Linked DNA regions of Sus scrofa. The protein of the gene in region 1 interacts with the protein of each later gene in a pairwise test. Links are inferred from orthologs where the notes say so. Each region holds a gene or a part of one and is shown on either strand. Other genes may lie near its edges. The genes, in order: FAM118A and ATOX1.

What was found.
Region 2: the proteins of FAM118A (region 1) and ATOX1 interact in binary tests that used the Homo sapiens proteins (3 or more experiments, as listed by UniProt). The two-hybrid records come from large-scale screens. The link is inferred for Sus scrofa from reciprocal best matches to the Homo sapiens genes FAM118A and ATOX1.

What each region holds. Positions count from the first base shown.
Region 1 is NC_010447.5:4,062,574-4,070,167, reverse strand, and holds the end of FAM118A (protein FAM118A), read left to right. Parts: intron 1-3,019; exon of another isoform or gene 3,020-3,237; coding exon of another isoform or gene 3,238-3,339; intron 3,340-4,170; coding exon 4,171-4,277; 3' UTR 4,278-4,774; downstream 4,775-7,594. Other genes in the region: SMC1B (structural maintenance of chromosomes protein 1B), read right to left, coding at 3,238-3,339, 4,793-4,903.
Region 2 is NC_010458.4:71,296,221-71,304,585, forward strand, and holds the start of ATOX1 (copper transport protein ATOX1), read left to right. Parts: upstream 1-3,100; 5' UTR 3,101-3,209; coding exon 3,210-3,215; intron 3,216-8,365. UniProt on the Homo sapiens protein: Binds and deliver cytosolic copper to the copper ATPase proteins. May be important in cellular antioxidant defense.

The DNA.
Region 1 (7,594 bases):
AATTCAGGTCGAGCTTTGAGAATCGCCATGCAGGAGAATCGAAGGCCTTGCTTTAAAAGATATATTTAGTCATTTCTCTGATTTTTGTTTGTTTTCCTTTTTGCCTTTTCTAGGGCCGCTTCCCACGGCATATGGAGGTTCCCAGGCTAGGGGTCGAATCGGAGCTGTAGCCACCGGCCTACGCCAGAGCCACAGCAACGCGGGATCCGAGCTGCATCTGCAACCTACACCACAGCTCACGGCAACGCCGGATCGTTAACCCACTGAGCAAGGCTAGGGATTGAACCCGCAACCTCATAGTTCCTAGTCAGATTTGTTAACCACTGCGCCACGACGGAAACTCCTGATTTTTGTTTTTAATACAAATTTATTCCAACATGACTGATGTATTAGAAAAAGCAGTCAGCATAGCACATCCACCTGTGGCTAATCTTGTCTGTGAGAAACTGGGTCAGGGCGTGACTACAACGTGGCTTGTTTGCTGCCTCAGAGAGAACAGGTTTTACATTTTTTTTTTGCTTTTTTTTACTTTCAGGGCTGTACCCGGGGCATTCGGAGGTTCCCAGGCTAGGGGTCCAATCAGAGCTACAGCTCTCGGCCTACACCTACACCACAGGTCACAGCAACGCCGGATCCTTGACCCACTGAGTGAGGCCAGGGATTGAACCCGCCACCTCATGATTCCTAGTCGGATTCGTTTCTGCTGCGCCACTACAGGAACTCCCCAGGTTTTACATTGTTTTTTTTTTTTTTTGCCTTTTCTAGGGCTGCACCTGTGGCATATGGAGGTTCCCAGGCTAGGGGTCCAATCAGAGCTGTAGCTGCTGGCCTGCACCACAGCCACAGCAACTTGGGATCTGAGCCAAGCCTGCGACCTACACCAAGCTCACGGCAACACCGGATCCTTGACCCACTGAGCAAAGCCAGGGATCGAACCCGCAACCTCATGGTTCCTAGTCGGAGTCGTTAACCCCTGCGCCAGGACGGGAGCTCCAGGTTTTACATTCTTGAATGGTTGTGTTTCATGTGGTCATCCAGACACCTGTATGGTAACCTCTGCTGCCTCATCAAAGCCCGAAAGACTCTGGCCCGTGAAGGCGGCTGGACCTGCTCCAGGTGGAAAGCAGGAGGCTGCAGCCAGCTGCCCAGCGCCCTGGGGGGACAGGCCGCCCGCCCTCCGGCCCCCACCCGCACTGGTGCGGCAGCAAGCGTCACGGGGGCGCCCCTTTCCCAGGTCAGCTTCCGGGCGGTTTGGGGGTGAGGCGCCTGTGTCCTGTGTAGCTGTGCCTTTAACCATTTAACCCTATAAAGCCGGCTTCTTACCAGGTTCATTTTTGTTGGGAGTTGGTGCCCCCGCCCCACAGTTGCTGTCCCCCTGCGGTTTCCGCCGGGTGCCTTGGCGTAGCCAGGCGCTTTTCCGGGATGAGGGTTGCTGTGTTGGACGGAGCAGTGACCCTGCTTTGAAGGCCTCTGACGGTCCGCAGTCTCAGGGGTGAGGTCAGCGTCTGCCCCAAGCCGTGTGGCACCGAAGGGCTGGTTTGATGTCTTCCAAGGCAGAGGGAGGTCGCGCCCACCAGGACTGGAAAAAGGTACAAGCGGGCGACTTCTGGCCCTCACGCCTTCAGAGGTTGGCTGGGGGAGGGCAGGAAGCAGGTTTTTGGGTGACTTCCATCTGTTTCTTAGGCACAGAGTGTATTTTGTTTACAGGGAACAGTGTCGTTCAAAGGTGATTCCATTACTTCAGGAGGCGACTCCCTGATTGGCACTTAAATACAGCACCACTATCATTTTTTATTCCATTTTTATTTATTGATTTGTCTTTTTGCCATTTCTAGGGCTGCTCCCACGGCGTATGCAGGTCCCCAAGCCAGGGATTGAACCCGCAACCTCATGGGCTCCTAGTTGGATTCGTTAACCACTGAGCCACGGTGGGAACTCCTTTCTTTTTCCATTTTTAAATGGAAATGAAGTACTATTGAAAACACTGCACCTTTTTTTGGTCTTTTTAGGGACGCACCCGTGGAATTTGGAGGTTCCCAGGCTAGGGGTCTAACTGGGGCTGTAGCCACCGGCCTACGCCAGAGCCACAGCAACGCAGGATCCTTAACCCACTGAGCGAGGCCAGGGATCGAACCCACATCCTCATGGTTCCTAGTCGGATTCGTTAACCACTGAGCCACAACGGGAACTCCCAAAAAGCTCTGCAACTTTGGATTCAACCAACCTTGGATTGAAAATAGTTGGGAAAAAAAAAGACTCCAGGAAGTTCCAAAACCATCTAGAATTTGCCGTGTATAGGCTACTATTTACAAACATTTACGCTGTATCAGGCACTATAAACAATGCAGAGATGGTTAAAGGGAGGCTGTGGGCTGTATGCGGATTCCTACCAACGCATATAAGGAACTGGAGCATCCCTGGGCGGTGGTACAGGGGCTCCCAGAGAGAAGGGACCACTGCAGTCGAGCGGAGCAGTGGGCTGTTGCTTGGGAGAGCCTGTGTCCTTCTGTCTGTTTTTTCTTTTTATGACCACATCTACCGCATATGGAAGTTCTTAGGCCAGGGTTGAATGGGAGCTGCAGCTGCCGCCTACATCACAGCCACAGCAGCACTGGATCTGAGCTGCATCTGCAACCTCTGCCGCAGATCACAGCAACCCCGGATCCTTAACCTACCGAGGGAGGCCGGGGATTGAACCCACGTCCTCACAGACACCACGTGGGGTTCTTCCCCGCCGAGCCACAACAGGAACTCTGAAACAACTCAATTTCACCTTAAATCCTTTATTTCTAAAATTACGGAGTGCAGACGTTTGAAATTAGACTATTTTTATTGATACTTTCAGTACTGGTTTCAGTCCCTCCGAAATAATTTTCCCTAAGACACAGGTCCAATACCGTGTAACTAGCACACTTAGAAACCAAGTTTCTTCTCTTAAAGGTTTACTTAAACTGTGCAAGGCAACATCGCAGCAAAGGTGAGTGATGCCGGATTAAAAAACTTTGACTGGATTTCAAAATGGAAGTTAAAACTATGTTTTCAGAGCTAACGCACAGGAGATGCTATTTACTGGAGTGGGGCCTGAACACTTTGTAACAGAGGCAAGCATCTTTGGCGGGGGACAAGCTTTTGCTTGCTCCCAAAGTCTGTCAGGTAGATGGAACGTGGGGGTGAGAACGGAACAAGGGTTGGCCTGACCACGCAGCACTCTGCCCACCGCTACCATCGCGCTGAGGCCTAACGGGGCTCCCGCTGCCTCCTGCTGCTCTCTCTCCCCTCGGTTTCTGGATACTGAGAAAGGTCCAGGGTCAAAGCTCGGCTGAACATGCAGTCGTCTTGCTGAAACGGAGACAAGACAGTACCGTCAGTCCCTGTCATCAGATGTGAAGTCAGGGCCCTCAGTGAGTCTGGACTGAGCTTTGCAAAAGGACCCTCCTTGCAGCCAAACGTATCGCCTGTCTGCATTGACATGAGCTCTATTTCGTTTTTGGAGTTACCTGGCAAAATGTACCAGCTCTGCTACCCCAAACGGGCCTTTCACACACGGATTGTTTTAAATGAAAGGCTACTGAGAAACAGCAGACGGAGGAAAAAACTAAAAACGAAGCACAAGACTCCCTTTTGGTAAAGGAAATTCATTGACATAAAAGATGGCCACCTCTTCACTTTTTCTTTTTTTTTTTTTTAGGGTCGCACCCATGGCACATGGATGCCCCCAGGCTTGGCGTCAACTCAGAGCTACAGCTGCCGGCCTACACCACAGCCCCAGCCGTGCCGGATCCTCGACCCACTGAGTGAAGCCAGGGACGGAACCCGCATCCTCACGTTTCCTAGCTGGGCTCCTGACCGCTGGGCCACAACGGGAGCTCCAACCTCTCACTCGTGGCCAGTGCAGAGGTCAGCGGCATCTGCAGGGCAGCTCTGACTCCAGCCTGCTCCTGGCCCTCCTCCCGGAGCCCCAGGCCTCTGCCTTCCAGCCTCGCATGCTTGTCCCCGTCCAGGCCCTCGCCACCGCTGGCTTGTTCACCGCTGGGTGTGCCCTCAGGTCCCAGGCTGATGCTCTTGTTTACCTTTCCGCCTCCCGCTGGTCTAACTGACAGGGCCTGCCAGAGCCTGAGATTTTATTCCTGTCCTGCACTGCTAATGAGAATTCCCGTTTCTCTCCTGCAGCGTGTTCCAGCGATGCCGTGACAGGAGGTAGGCGCAGGGAGGGAAGTGGATTTTATCTTGGCTTCAAGGAGGACTCAGGAAGTGAAACCGAATTGTCTAAGGACTGAATGATCTGAATGAGTTGCTCTGCTCCATTAGCGCAGGTAAGTATTTTCAAGGGCTTCTAGAATGACGATGCACCTGAGAACTTGTGGTCAATTTCTTTGTTTTTTCCTCTGGTACTTTTGGAGGATAAATGGGTCCCTGTTAGTTCTACCATGTTGCATTTCTATTTGCCTAAAACATTCAGACCTTACAGAAATAGGAAATATAATACTAGCAGTCTAATTCCTGTAAGTTAATATGTACTATTATTTTACAAGCAAAACTATCATACTTACTGTTCTGCAATTTTCAACTGGCTTTTTCACTTAAAATAGATCTTACCTTTCTGTATACGGCCACAGAAAAACATCCGAGTAGTTCCTTTTAAGTCTTATTGATTAAAAAATCACCCCAGCCTATATCTGTCACTGCTGAAATCAAACAGTATCTACACTCTGTGAGGAACTTGAGATGCTGTTGCTGGGACCCCCCCGCCGCCCCGGGCTGATTTTCCTCCTCCCCTCTGCCGTGTCTTTACCTCTGGATAGATGCCTATCAGCGCATCAGCTTTGGAATAGAACTCTTCTTTCAGGGAAATAATTATCATCTGAAACTGTTCCTGAGTCTGCTCCTTGATGTAACTTGACACCTGGGAGGAACCAAAAGCGTCAACCCCGTCCCATCAGTAAGGATGCAGAAGGCACCTGGCCCTTCAGTAAGGAAAGGCGGCCTTCCTGGGGGCCCTGAGAACAGGCCCTGTCCGTCTGAGTCTGACAGGACGCCTGCCTGCCTGCCTTCCTGGTGATTCAGGCAGGGAGTCACTGCAACCGCAGAAGCGGAGATAGCTCAGATTCTAAAATAAGAGATTAGAAAACTAGAAACCTCATTAAATCTGACTGAAAACCTAAATATTTTTAAGAGAAACATCTAACCTAGACTATCATGTGAATATGCAACCAACTTCTACAACAAGATAAAACTACCACTTGGGTATTTGATGAGGGTGAAGAAGGGCTGGTATTTTAAGCTCCCAGCTTCCTCTGTTGCCAACTCAAAAGCTGAAGATGGGAGAAATATGGCAATTATATATGTATTCATTGTCCATGATCAACTCATTTGGTGAGCGGGGAATTCAGTGGCTCCTTCAGGAGCCTTAATTCCAAGGAATGGAGTAAGAACAAAACAGACTGGCTAGAAATGCGTCTTGGTGAAAATCTCTACTCAGAATCTGGAGAACGATAAAGAACTTAAGACTCAAATCACAGTTTTAACAAGATGCTTGCCGATTCCCTGGATCTCTCTGCAAGCCTAGAGTGTGCCTTCTCCGTGTATTGGCCTGACTGCAGCCAAGATACTGAGAACACTCATTCTGGAGGCAGGAATGGCCACTTCGGTTGAGGAATGAGGCCCCGGCTGAGGTGAATTTGGGCTACAGGCTGAATTCACAGGCAGAAGGAACTCCAGCACTGGAGGCACCATGGTGCCGAGTAGGTAGCCACCGCGATACAGGACTTTGAGGAAGTCCGTTTCTGTTTTGTTGGTTAGTTCAGTGTGGTAATCTCTAGGTCCATTCACGTTGATGCAAATGGCATTATTTCATTCTTTTTATGGCTGAGTAATAGTCCATTGTGTGTGTGTGTGTGTGTGTACACATATATACACCTTTATTCGTCCCTTTGTCAGTGGACATTTAGGTTGTTTCCATGTCTTGGCTACTGTAAATAGTGCTGCTGTGAGCAGCAGGGTACATGTATCTTTTCAAATTATCAGAGTTCCTGTCATGGCTCAGCAGTTAACGAATCCGACGAGCATCCATGAGGATGTAGGTTTGATCCCTGGCCTTGTGGGTTAAGGATCTCGAGTTGGCATGAGCTGTGGTGTAGGTTGCGGACACTGCTCGGATCTGGCATTGCTGTGGCTGTGGTGTAGGCCAGCAGCTATAGCTCTGATTGGACTCCTAGCCTGGGAGCCTCCATATGCCATGGATGTGGCCCTAAAAAGACCCCAAAAAAAAGTCAAATTATAATTGTCTGGGTGTACGCCCAGAAGTGGGATTACTGAATCATATGGCAACTTTATTTTTAGGTGTTTTTTTTTTTTGGTTTTGTTTTTTGATTTTTAGGGCCGCACTTGTGGCATGTGGAAGTTCCCAGGCTAGAGGTCAAATCGGAGCTACAGCTGCTGGCCTTCACCACAGCCACAGCCACGACAGATCCGAGCCACCTCTGTGACCTACACCAGCTCACAGCAACGCTGGATCCTTAACCCACTGAGTGAGACCAGGGATGGAACCTGCATCCTCATGGATACTAGTCAGGTTCTTAACCTGCTGAGCCACAACAGGAACTCCTGGGCTCTATTCTGTTCCATTGACCCCTATGTCCGTTTTGTGCCAATAACTTTCTTCCTTTCTTTTTTTAAGGAGGCACCCACGGCATATGGAGGTTCCCAGGCTAGGGGCTGAATCAGAGCTGTAGCTGCTGGCCTACATCACAACCATAGGAACGCCAGATCCTTAACCCCCTGATCGAGGCCAGGGATTGAATCCACATCCTCATGGAAACTAGTCGGGTTTGTTACCGCTGAGCTGCGGCAGTAACTCCTTGCACCAATAACTCTGAATAACTGCAGCTTTGTAGTATTGTCTGCAGTCTGGGAGGGTTCTGCCTTCTGCTTTATTCTTTTTTTCTCAGGATTGCTTTGGCAATTATGGGTCTTTTATGGTTCCACATACATTTTACGATTATTAAGTTCTGTGAAAAGTATCACGGGTAATTTGATGGGGATCACATTAAATCTGTAGTCTGGGAGTTCCCGTGGGGCGCAGTGGTGAACGACTCCGATGAGGAACAATGAGGTTGTGGATTCGATCCCTGGCCTTGCTCAGTGGGTTAAGGATCCGGCGTTGCCGGGAGCTGTGGTGTAGGTTGCAGATGTGGCTCGGATCCCACGTTGCTGTGGCTCTGGCGTAGGCCAGTGGCTACAGCTCCGATTGGACCCCTAGCCTGGGAACCTCCATATGCCGCAGGAGCGGCCCTAGAAAAGGCAAAAAGACAGAAAAAAAAAAAAAATCGTAGGTTGCTTTGGGTAGTAAAATGGCCCTTTTAACAATATTAAGTCTTCAAATTTTTTCAGATTCTTCAAATCTTCTCATTTCTTTGAACCATCTTCAATTTTCTTAATGCTTTGTAGTTCTTAGCATGTAAGTCCCTCACCTCCTTAGTAAGGCTCATTTCCAAGGACTGTTTCTTTATGGGATTTTGGAAGTCACTGTTTACATCCCCTTTCCCATTTCATTGCCACTGTAAAGTAATGCGGCAGATTTCTGTGAGTGAACCTC
Region 2 (8,365 bases), on another chromosome or scaffold:
TTTGATCCCTGAACTCTGTGGGTTAAGGCTCTGGCATTGCCACAAGCTGTGACGAAGGTCACAGATGCACCTCGGAACTGGTGTTGCTGTGGCCAGCAGCTGTAGCTCCAATTTGACCCCTAGCCTGGGAACTTCCATATGCCACAGATGTGGAGGTAAAAAGAAAAAAAAAATTCATAATTGATGCCCTAACCTCTTAATGTGACTGCGTTTGGAGGTAGGGCCTGTGAGGAGGTGATAAAAGTTAACACAGCAGGGCCCTAATATGATAGAGCCGGTGCCCGTATAAGACGAGGAAGATACCAGAGCTAGCTGGCTTTCCCCTGTGGGGACACAGCAAGAAGGGAGCTGTCTGCAAGCTGGGAGGAGAGCTCTCATCAGAAATCGAACCAGCCACCATCCTGATCTTGGACTTTCCATCTTCTAGAACTATGAGCAATAACTTTCTGTTGCTCAAGCGACCCAGTCTGTGGTATTTTTTAGGAGGGGCCCTAGCAGACTAGGCTGGTCTCTAATCTCCATATGCCCCTCCCGCTCACCATGCCGATGGGCCTAGTCATCAAGGGCCAGTGTGAGCCAGCGACTGGTCCTGGTTTAGACTTATCCCTTCTCTTTTGTTTTCCTTGAACTTAGACCAAGGGTAGAACCGTTATCCTCTTCCCTAAACTGAAATAGGCATCTTGTCAGTCCCTGAGTCCGAGGCCAGTCAGGAGAGAGAAACTACTCTACCATTTGAACAAGAAAACTTTAAAGATTATGGAGCTCCTGTCATGGCGCAGTGGTTAACGAATCCGACTAGGAACCATGAGGTTGCAGGTTCGATCCCTGGCCTCACTCAGTGGGTTAAGGATCTGTCATTGCCGTGAGCTGTGGTGTAGGTCGCAGACATGGCTCGGATCTTGTGTTGCTGTGGCTGTGGTGGAGGCCGGTGGCTACAGCTCCAATTAGACCCCTAGCCTGGGAAACTCCATATGCCATGGGAAGAGGCCCTAGAAAAGGCAAAAAGACCGAAAAAAAAAAAGGAAAGAAAACTTTAAAGATTATAATGAGACTCTAGTAATGAAGGATTGGCTAGTAAGAAGAAAAAAGAATCTTATTAAAGAATATAGGAGTAGCAGATATGAGGCACAGCTACTGCCCATAGGGCTAAAATAATGAAATGGGGTGCTCAGGAAGAATCCTGCTTCCACACATCCAGGCTGCGATCCAAGCCTTGTGGCTTACTGGACAGAGTGTCTATGATGCCATGGTGGTGGAACTTGCTAGAAGGTCACCCACTAGGCTGGAAAACTGCCCTCTAGGATGCTGGAGAAAGCTGTTCACAGAGAATCATCTTATTGGAGTTACTCCTCTGCTATGAAAGCACGTAAGCAGGACAGGTACTGGAGGAACTGCTGCCTATCATGTACTGCTGGTCCTTTTCCACAGCAGGAACCAGGTGCTGGAGAAGCCATCCTCAGAAGCTAGGCAGAGGCCAGTCACAGATACTCCAAGAGCCTGGAGACTGAGCACACTGGAGTAAGAAAGGAAAACCTTAATTCATTGAAAAAAATTTTTAAATAAAAAATTAAAAAAAATAAATGTTACAGGAGTTCCCTTGTGGCACAGTGGGTTAAGGATCTGGTATTGTCACTGCAGTGGCCCAGGTCACTGCTGTAGTGAGGGTTCAATCCCTGGCCCAGGAAGTTCCACAATGCTGTGGGTGTAGACCAAAAAATAAAAATGTTACAAAACTCTAAAAAAAAAAAGAAAAAAAGGAAAACCTTTCCTCCTCCAGTGTCTCTCCAGAGCCTTTACTGGCAAAGCTTAACATCCTGCCATTTGGCAAAGCAAAAGTAATCTTCAAAGGGTCCAGATTTTCACAAGCAGGCAAAAATGATGAATTGGAACTAAGACACAGTAGCCAGCACACTTTCTCAAAAAGGTTTTGTGTATTAGAGTATAGTTTTCCTTAACCAGTGGTTTCCTAAACAAGGAGGAGGAGAGGAACAAAAATACACGAATTTGTTTTTTTGTTGCTTTTGTTTTTCTTTTTAACAGCAGCACCTGCAACCTACAGATATTCCCACACTAAGGGTCGAATTGGAGCGGCAGCTGCTGGTCTATACCACAGCCACAGCAATGCCAGATCCCAGCCACGTCTTCCGCCTATGCAGTGGCTTGCAGCAACGCTGGATCCTTAACCCACCGAGAGAGGACAGGGATCAAACTCACTGCGTCACAGGGGACCGTTCTTAACCCGCTGGGCCACAACGGAACTCCAATGACAGATCTTTGAAACTGCTAACATAGACGTAGGCTCCTTGGATATTTTAAGGACAGAAACAGCCTGGTACTCGTGTGTGTGTGTGTGTGTGTGTGTGTGTGTGTGTGCGTGCGTGTGTATCAAGACCTGGGGCTTGACACACCTTCTGTGTCTTAGAGCATCTCCGCCTCTGTCTGTCTTTACCCATGGCTATGGGTCTCATGTCTTTGCCGTGTCATTTCTCCATCTCTCTCAATAGTTGCTTCTCAGTCTGCCTCCTCCAAGCTATGCCCTATGCCGTTTCCTCTGCCTCCTTCCTCCCCAAATAACTCTTCTTCCTTCTACAGATGGACGAAGATTTCCGCCTCTGGAAGCCTCCTCACTTCACGAACCGCCTTCACCCTCCAGTCCGAGTTAGAGGTCTTTTCTCCGCTCGCACTGAGACACGGCTCCTTCCTTTAACACTGCTTTATCTTGCATCGTCATCTCCTGCTTCCCTGGCTCCCTACTAAGCTGTATCTTTCCATACCTGCATCTTGGATGCCTCGCACAGGGCCAGCCCAGGGCTGGCAATAAATACTGAACGGGTGAACAAATGAGGTGGTTCCTTTGCGGGGGTGGTGGGGGGAGTTTCCAGCCCCTAATACATGCCTGACAAAGGGTAGGCGGTCTAACCACGGTCCGCATGCGGGGCAGGCTAGCCGAGGTCCCTCCCACCGCCTAGCACAGACGTGGCAAGTGGCCAGGGGCTCCATCCCGGCCGGAAAGAGGCGGAGAGGACAACAGCCTCCAGGCCGCTGCCCGCCCGCGAGGCCGGGGGGGCGTGGCTTAGCCGGAGGCCCGGCCGGAGGGGGCGGGGCCGGGACCAAAGAGCGGCTTCTGCGGGGCGCGCGCACCCGGAAGCGCAGCCGCGCCAGCGCTCAGAGCCGCGGGAGGCGTCGCCACGGCCACCACGTCCTCAGTCATGCCGGTAAGTGGTCACGCCGCCTTCGCCCCGCGCAGACCCGCGGCCCACCGCTTGCGCCTCGTCTGCACTGCGGCTTGGCCACAGGTCGCTCTTCAAGGGCTCTGGCTGCGGCCGGAGCTGTCGCCCCTCTTCTCATCCCCTCCCCGCCCAGGCCCCAGCTTTTGCTTCTGCGACCCTCCAAGAAAATCGAATCCCAAGGGATTTTTATCTAGGAGTCAGGTGTCAGAACACCGAAGCTGCAAGGGCTCCAAGCGAGTACCAATCCAAACCTTCCTTGTATAAAAGGGGAAACTGAGGCCCAGAGACGGGCAGCGTCGACGGAGGTCCCGCAGGGTGATCCGGAACCGGAACTGGGCGGGGCCTGGATGCCCGTTCCCTCGGGGATGGCTCTGGACCTTGGGACAGGGAAGGCGTTCAGAGATCCGTGTTTCTCTTCCCTTCCCCCTGCCCACTCTTTCAGGTCAGCGCCAGGCGACACCGAATGGAGACAGTGCTTTTAACCTTTGCTCCTGGTCGGTTCATGAATCTGAACTCATGAACTCCAGAGAGGTTCAGGGACCGCCCCACAATTGATCACTTGCTCAGTGGCAGCGTTTGGGGCCGAATGCGCAGGTCGTAGCCCGCCTTTGCAGCTCACTCCGTCTTAGCGAGTATACTCGGTTGCTCATGGCCTCATTTTGTAGATGAAAAATTAAGGCCTTTTCCAGATTAAGCAAATTAAAGCCCAATGGTTTATTCAAGGTGGTGTTGGGAGTTGAGTGCAGCCAGGATAAAGCCCTTTATCTACTGTCTCGCAGTCTCTCCTGGCCTGACCACAAGCCAAGTGCCCAACAAAAGTAGTCATACCGGCTTGGGAGGAAGCACTGATCCTAGTTGCAACCTGGAGATCCTGGCTAGAGTCATGTGTTTAGCACATGACATCCCCCAGGGTTCCTAGTTTATGGCTCTGCTCCAAGTGGGTACCCAGAGGTGTCCCACAGATGCTCTGTGTCTTAGCAGCCTAGCTTTGGGGAGCTGACAGGTGAGCCAGAGGCCCCCTGGGCCACGCCACAAACATCTCAGGTGTCATTTCCTTTGGGTCTCGCCAGGTGCCTTGAGACAAATCCTCAGACAACACAAAGTCTGGACAAAGAACCTGACAGAATTAGCCCTCCCAGTTGAACAAATCTGCCTGCAGCAGTGACAGAGGATGGCATTAATCACCCTGGGACTAGAATAGTGAAGGCTACCAGGTTTTTGTGGGGGACGGGAGAGAGGGAAAGGCCAGCTTGAGGGTCAGTGCTCTCTGTTCACTTCTGGGGATTCTGACAAGCCAAAGACCCTCCAGAGTGGGTGATGAGAGTGAAGAGGGTACTTGTCACCACAGTCACGAGAGGGACAGCTGAAGGAAGGATTATTAGTCAAGGGACTGTCACCAAAACTGCAAGGGGAAGAGTGTGTCACCTGAGAGGTTTCTCTGACAAACACTTGAGATCTCAGAAACCTCTGGAAAATCTGGGTTCCTGTTCGCTGACTCGGTGACCTTGGGCAAGCTACCTTCCTTCTCTGTGCCTTGATTCCCTCATCTGTAAAATGGGGATTAAAAAAACTGACCTCACAGAGCTGTTTTTAGTATTAACTGGGAAAATGCCAGTAAAATACATAGCCTAGCTACTGACATAGTTAGTCCCCAAGAAATGGCAGCTTTTGTGCAGACCTGGAATGAGTCAGGTGGGACTACAGGCAGGCAGGTTTCAACTCCATTTTAACAAGGACCACATGATAAGAGTTTAGGCTTTGGATACTGTATCCAGACTAGCCCCTGCTACTTAGTAGCTTTATCACCTTGAGTGAATACCCTAATGTCATGTCAAGAAAGGATAATATTTACCTCAAGGGTTTGTTTTGATGATTAAACAAGGTAATGCATGGACAATGGCTGACCCACATGGTAGGCACTCTAATATATATATATGTGTGTGTGTGTGTGTGTGTATTTTTCGGGCTGAACCTGCGACACATGAAAGTTCCCTGACTAGGGGTCCAGTCGGAGCTGCAGCTGCCGGCCTCTGTCACAGCCACAGCAATGCAGGATCCAAGCTGCATCTGCGACCTACACCATAGCTCACGGCTACACCGGATCCTTAACCCACTGAGTGAGACCAGGAATTGAACCCGCATCCTCATGGACACTAGTTGGATTTGAGCCATGATGGGAACTCCTCTAATATTACTATTAGTAAATTCCCAGACATCATAGTGTTCAAAGACTAAATTCCCAAATATTTGAGAAAGATTTTCCTTGAGGCGGAGAGGACAGGTGGTGATGGCGAGACAATGTGACCCCATTCCATTCCTGTCCTTCCCATTCTGAGATTCACTTTAAGAATCTCTTTCATTGACTTTATAGGACCTGTTTTATAGGTGACAGAGTGGAGGCTCTGAGGGGCTGGGACTCTGCAAAGTCAAGCACTCCGTGGTGGGGCCAGTCTTGGGATTCTCTGTAAAGGAAGGATCACGCTGCTCGTTTAGACTTTCCGCTGCCCCCGTTTCCTTTGGTAGCTCAGAGGTGGAGGAGGAGGAGAGCATTGAATTATATTGGCGGTAACCCATCCCCTGTCACTGACCTCTGTCCTAGGCAGGATGAAAGGAGACCTGCTCTCTGTAGCCAGCTGCAGAGAGCTTCAGAGATCCGTTGACTTTGGCTCCTTGGGCAGCAAAAACGTGTGCTCCTTCACAAGGTGCCCCCCACTCAGGGCTCCTGCTTAGAGAATCGGTTGTGGGGGATGGCACTGCTGTTTGCGGGTCCAGAACCAGCAAGATGTCCTGGAGCGGGGAAAGCCTGGGTTCACATCCCAGCCTCAGCACATATCCACCCCGTGACTGGGCAGCTTAGCTAACCCCTGGAACCTCGGTTTTCTCCTAAGTGCAGTAGGGTGACTAGCTCCCTTACCTGGTTGGGCAAGGACTGACTTGGTTACTATATAAAGAGCATTTCGTAAAGGGGTCGCTCAATAGATTTGGGTTTTATGTTGGTCTTGCAAACCCATTACAGCTTTGGCTGGGTATACAGGTGCAAGCCATTAACAAATCTTGCGGACCATCATTCTAGAGCAAGGACAGCAGACTTTTTCTTCAAGGGCCAGATAGTAAATACCTAAGGCTTCGTGATCCACATGGTCTGTTACGACCCTGCAACTCTGTCCTTCTGGCATGACAGTAAAGGAGTACGCTTAGCTCTGTTCCCACGAAACTATAAAACCAGGTTGCAGGCAAGCTGTAGTTTCCCCCTTTGTATTCCACAGCAGCATCTCAAACTATAGTGTGGGCAGGAATGAGCTGTGTGTCCTGTTAAAAATGAGGATTCTGGAGTTCCCATCATGGCTCAGTGGGTTAAGAACCCAACCAGTATCCATGAGGATGTGGGTTGGATCCCTGGCCTCACTCAGTGGGATAAGGATCCTGTGTTGCTGTGAGCTGCGGTGTAGGTCACAGATGTGGCTCGGATCTGGTGTTGCTGTGGCTGCGGCTGGGGCTGGCAGCTGTAGCTCTGATTAGACCCCTATCCTTGGAACTTCCATATGCTGTAGGTGTGGCCCTAAAAAGAAAAAAAAAAAGAGGATTCTGATTCAGGAGGCTTGGAGTGCGACCTGAGCGTCTGTGTTAATGACAAGCTCCCGCGCGATGCTGTTACTGTCGGTCTGAAGACCGTGTGTTAAAGACAAGATTTTGGAATTCTCACCTGAAATCCTTATTTTCAAAATTTGTTGAATAGTCACAAAACGAGCGGAAGGAATCAGAGGCGTTCAAACTAGACGAACAGAAAAAACCATTTTCTTTACGGCAGGTTTCGCAGATTTGGCCCCAGTGAAATAGCAGTCTCCTTGTTATGTAACGACGGCTGTGTGTAATTCAGTGCAGGAAAACCCAACTGCCTAACTCTTGGCCTCAGTTTCCCTTGTAGAGCATGATGAAAATCCGGATCCAGGGATTTTCCAAGGATGTTTTGAGACTTGGAAAGAGCCTGAGAAGCCATTTAGACCAGTTTTTCTCAGGTGTGTGGGCTCACCCCTCTGTCTCTCCCCAGTGGATTAAAAAATGGAGAGTCCCAGGGCACACAGAGCCAACGGAGGCAGCTGCCTGCAGAGCTGAGTGGTCCCCAAGTTCCCCTGTGATCCTTGATGTCCACTGAGGGTGAGACAATGGAATTGGCTAATGCCCTTTTGGTAGAAATAAGGGGACTGGGGTCTTCCACCAAGATACAGTGCTGTGCCCAGAATTCTAACTAAGGTAATAGATTTGAAATGCTCCATGAAAAATGTAGCCATAGCTTTTTGGGAGTCCATTCTCTGGTGGTTTAGTGGTTAGGATTCTACAGTTTCACTGCTGTGGCCTGGGTTCAGTCCCTGGTGTGGCAACTGAGATCCCACATCAAGCACACTGTGGCAGAAAGAGAGAAAGAAAAATGTAGCCATAGGTTTTTTTTTTTTTTTAAGGGACAGAAAAGAGGGAAGAAGAACAAACTGATAATAATAATAATTATTTTTTGGACTGCCCCAAGGTATGTGGAGTTCCCAGGCCAGGAATCAGATCCAAGCCACAGTCGCAACCTATCCCGTAGCTGTGGCAACACTGAATCCTTTAACCCACAGTGCAGGGCTGGGGATCGAACCTGGATCCTGGCACTGCAGTGATGCCACAGATCTCATTGCACCACAGCAAGACTAATTCAGTAGCTAACTTTTTTTTGTCTTTTTGCTATTTCTTTGGGCCGCTTCCACGGCATATGGAGGTTCCCAGGCTAGGGGTCGAATCGGAGCTGTAGCCACCAGCCTACGCCAGAGCCACAGCAACGCGGGATCCGAGCCGCATCTGCAACCTACACCACAGCTCACGGCAACGCCGGATCGTTAACCCACTGAGCAAGGGCAGGGACCGAACCCGCAACCTCATGGTTCCTAGTCGGATTCGTTAGCCACTGCGCCACGACGGGAACTCCAGTAGCTAACTTTTTATCCCAGAGGAACCTATTATGCTCCAATTTCTTTACCTATTGTATGAATTATCTGTTACTTCTGAGTAATTAGCTCAAAACTTGGTTTAAAATAACAAATATCAGGAGTTCCCATCGTGGCGCAGTGGTTAACGACTCCGACTGGGAACCATGAGGTTAC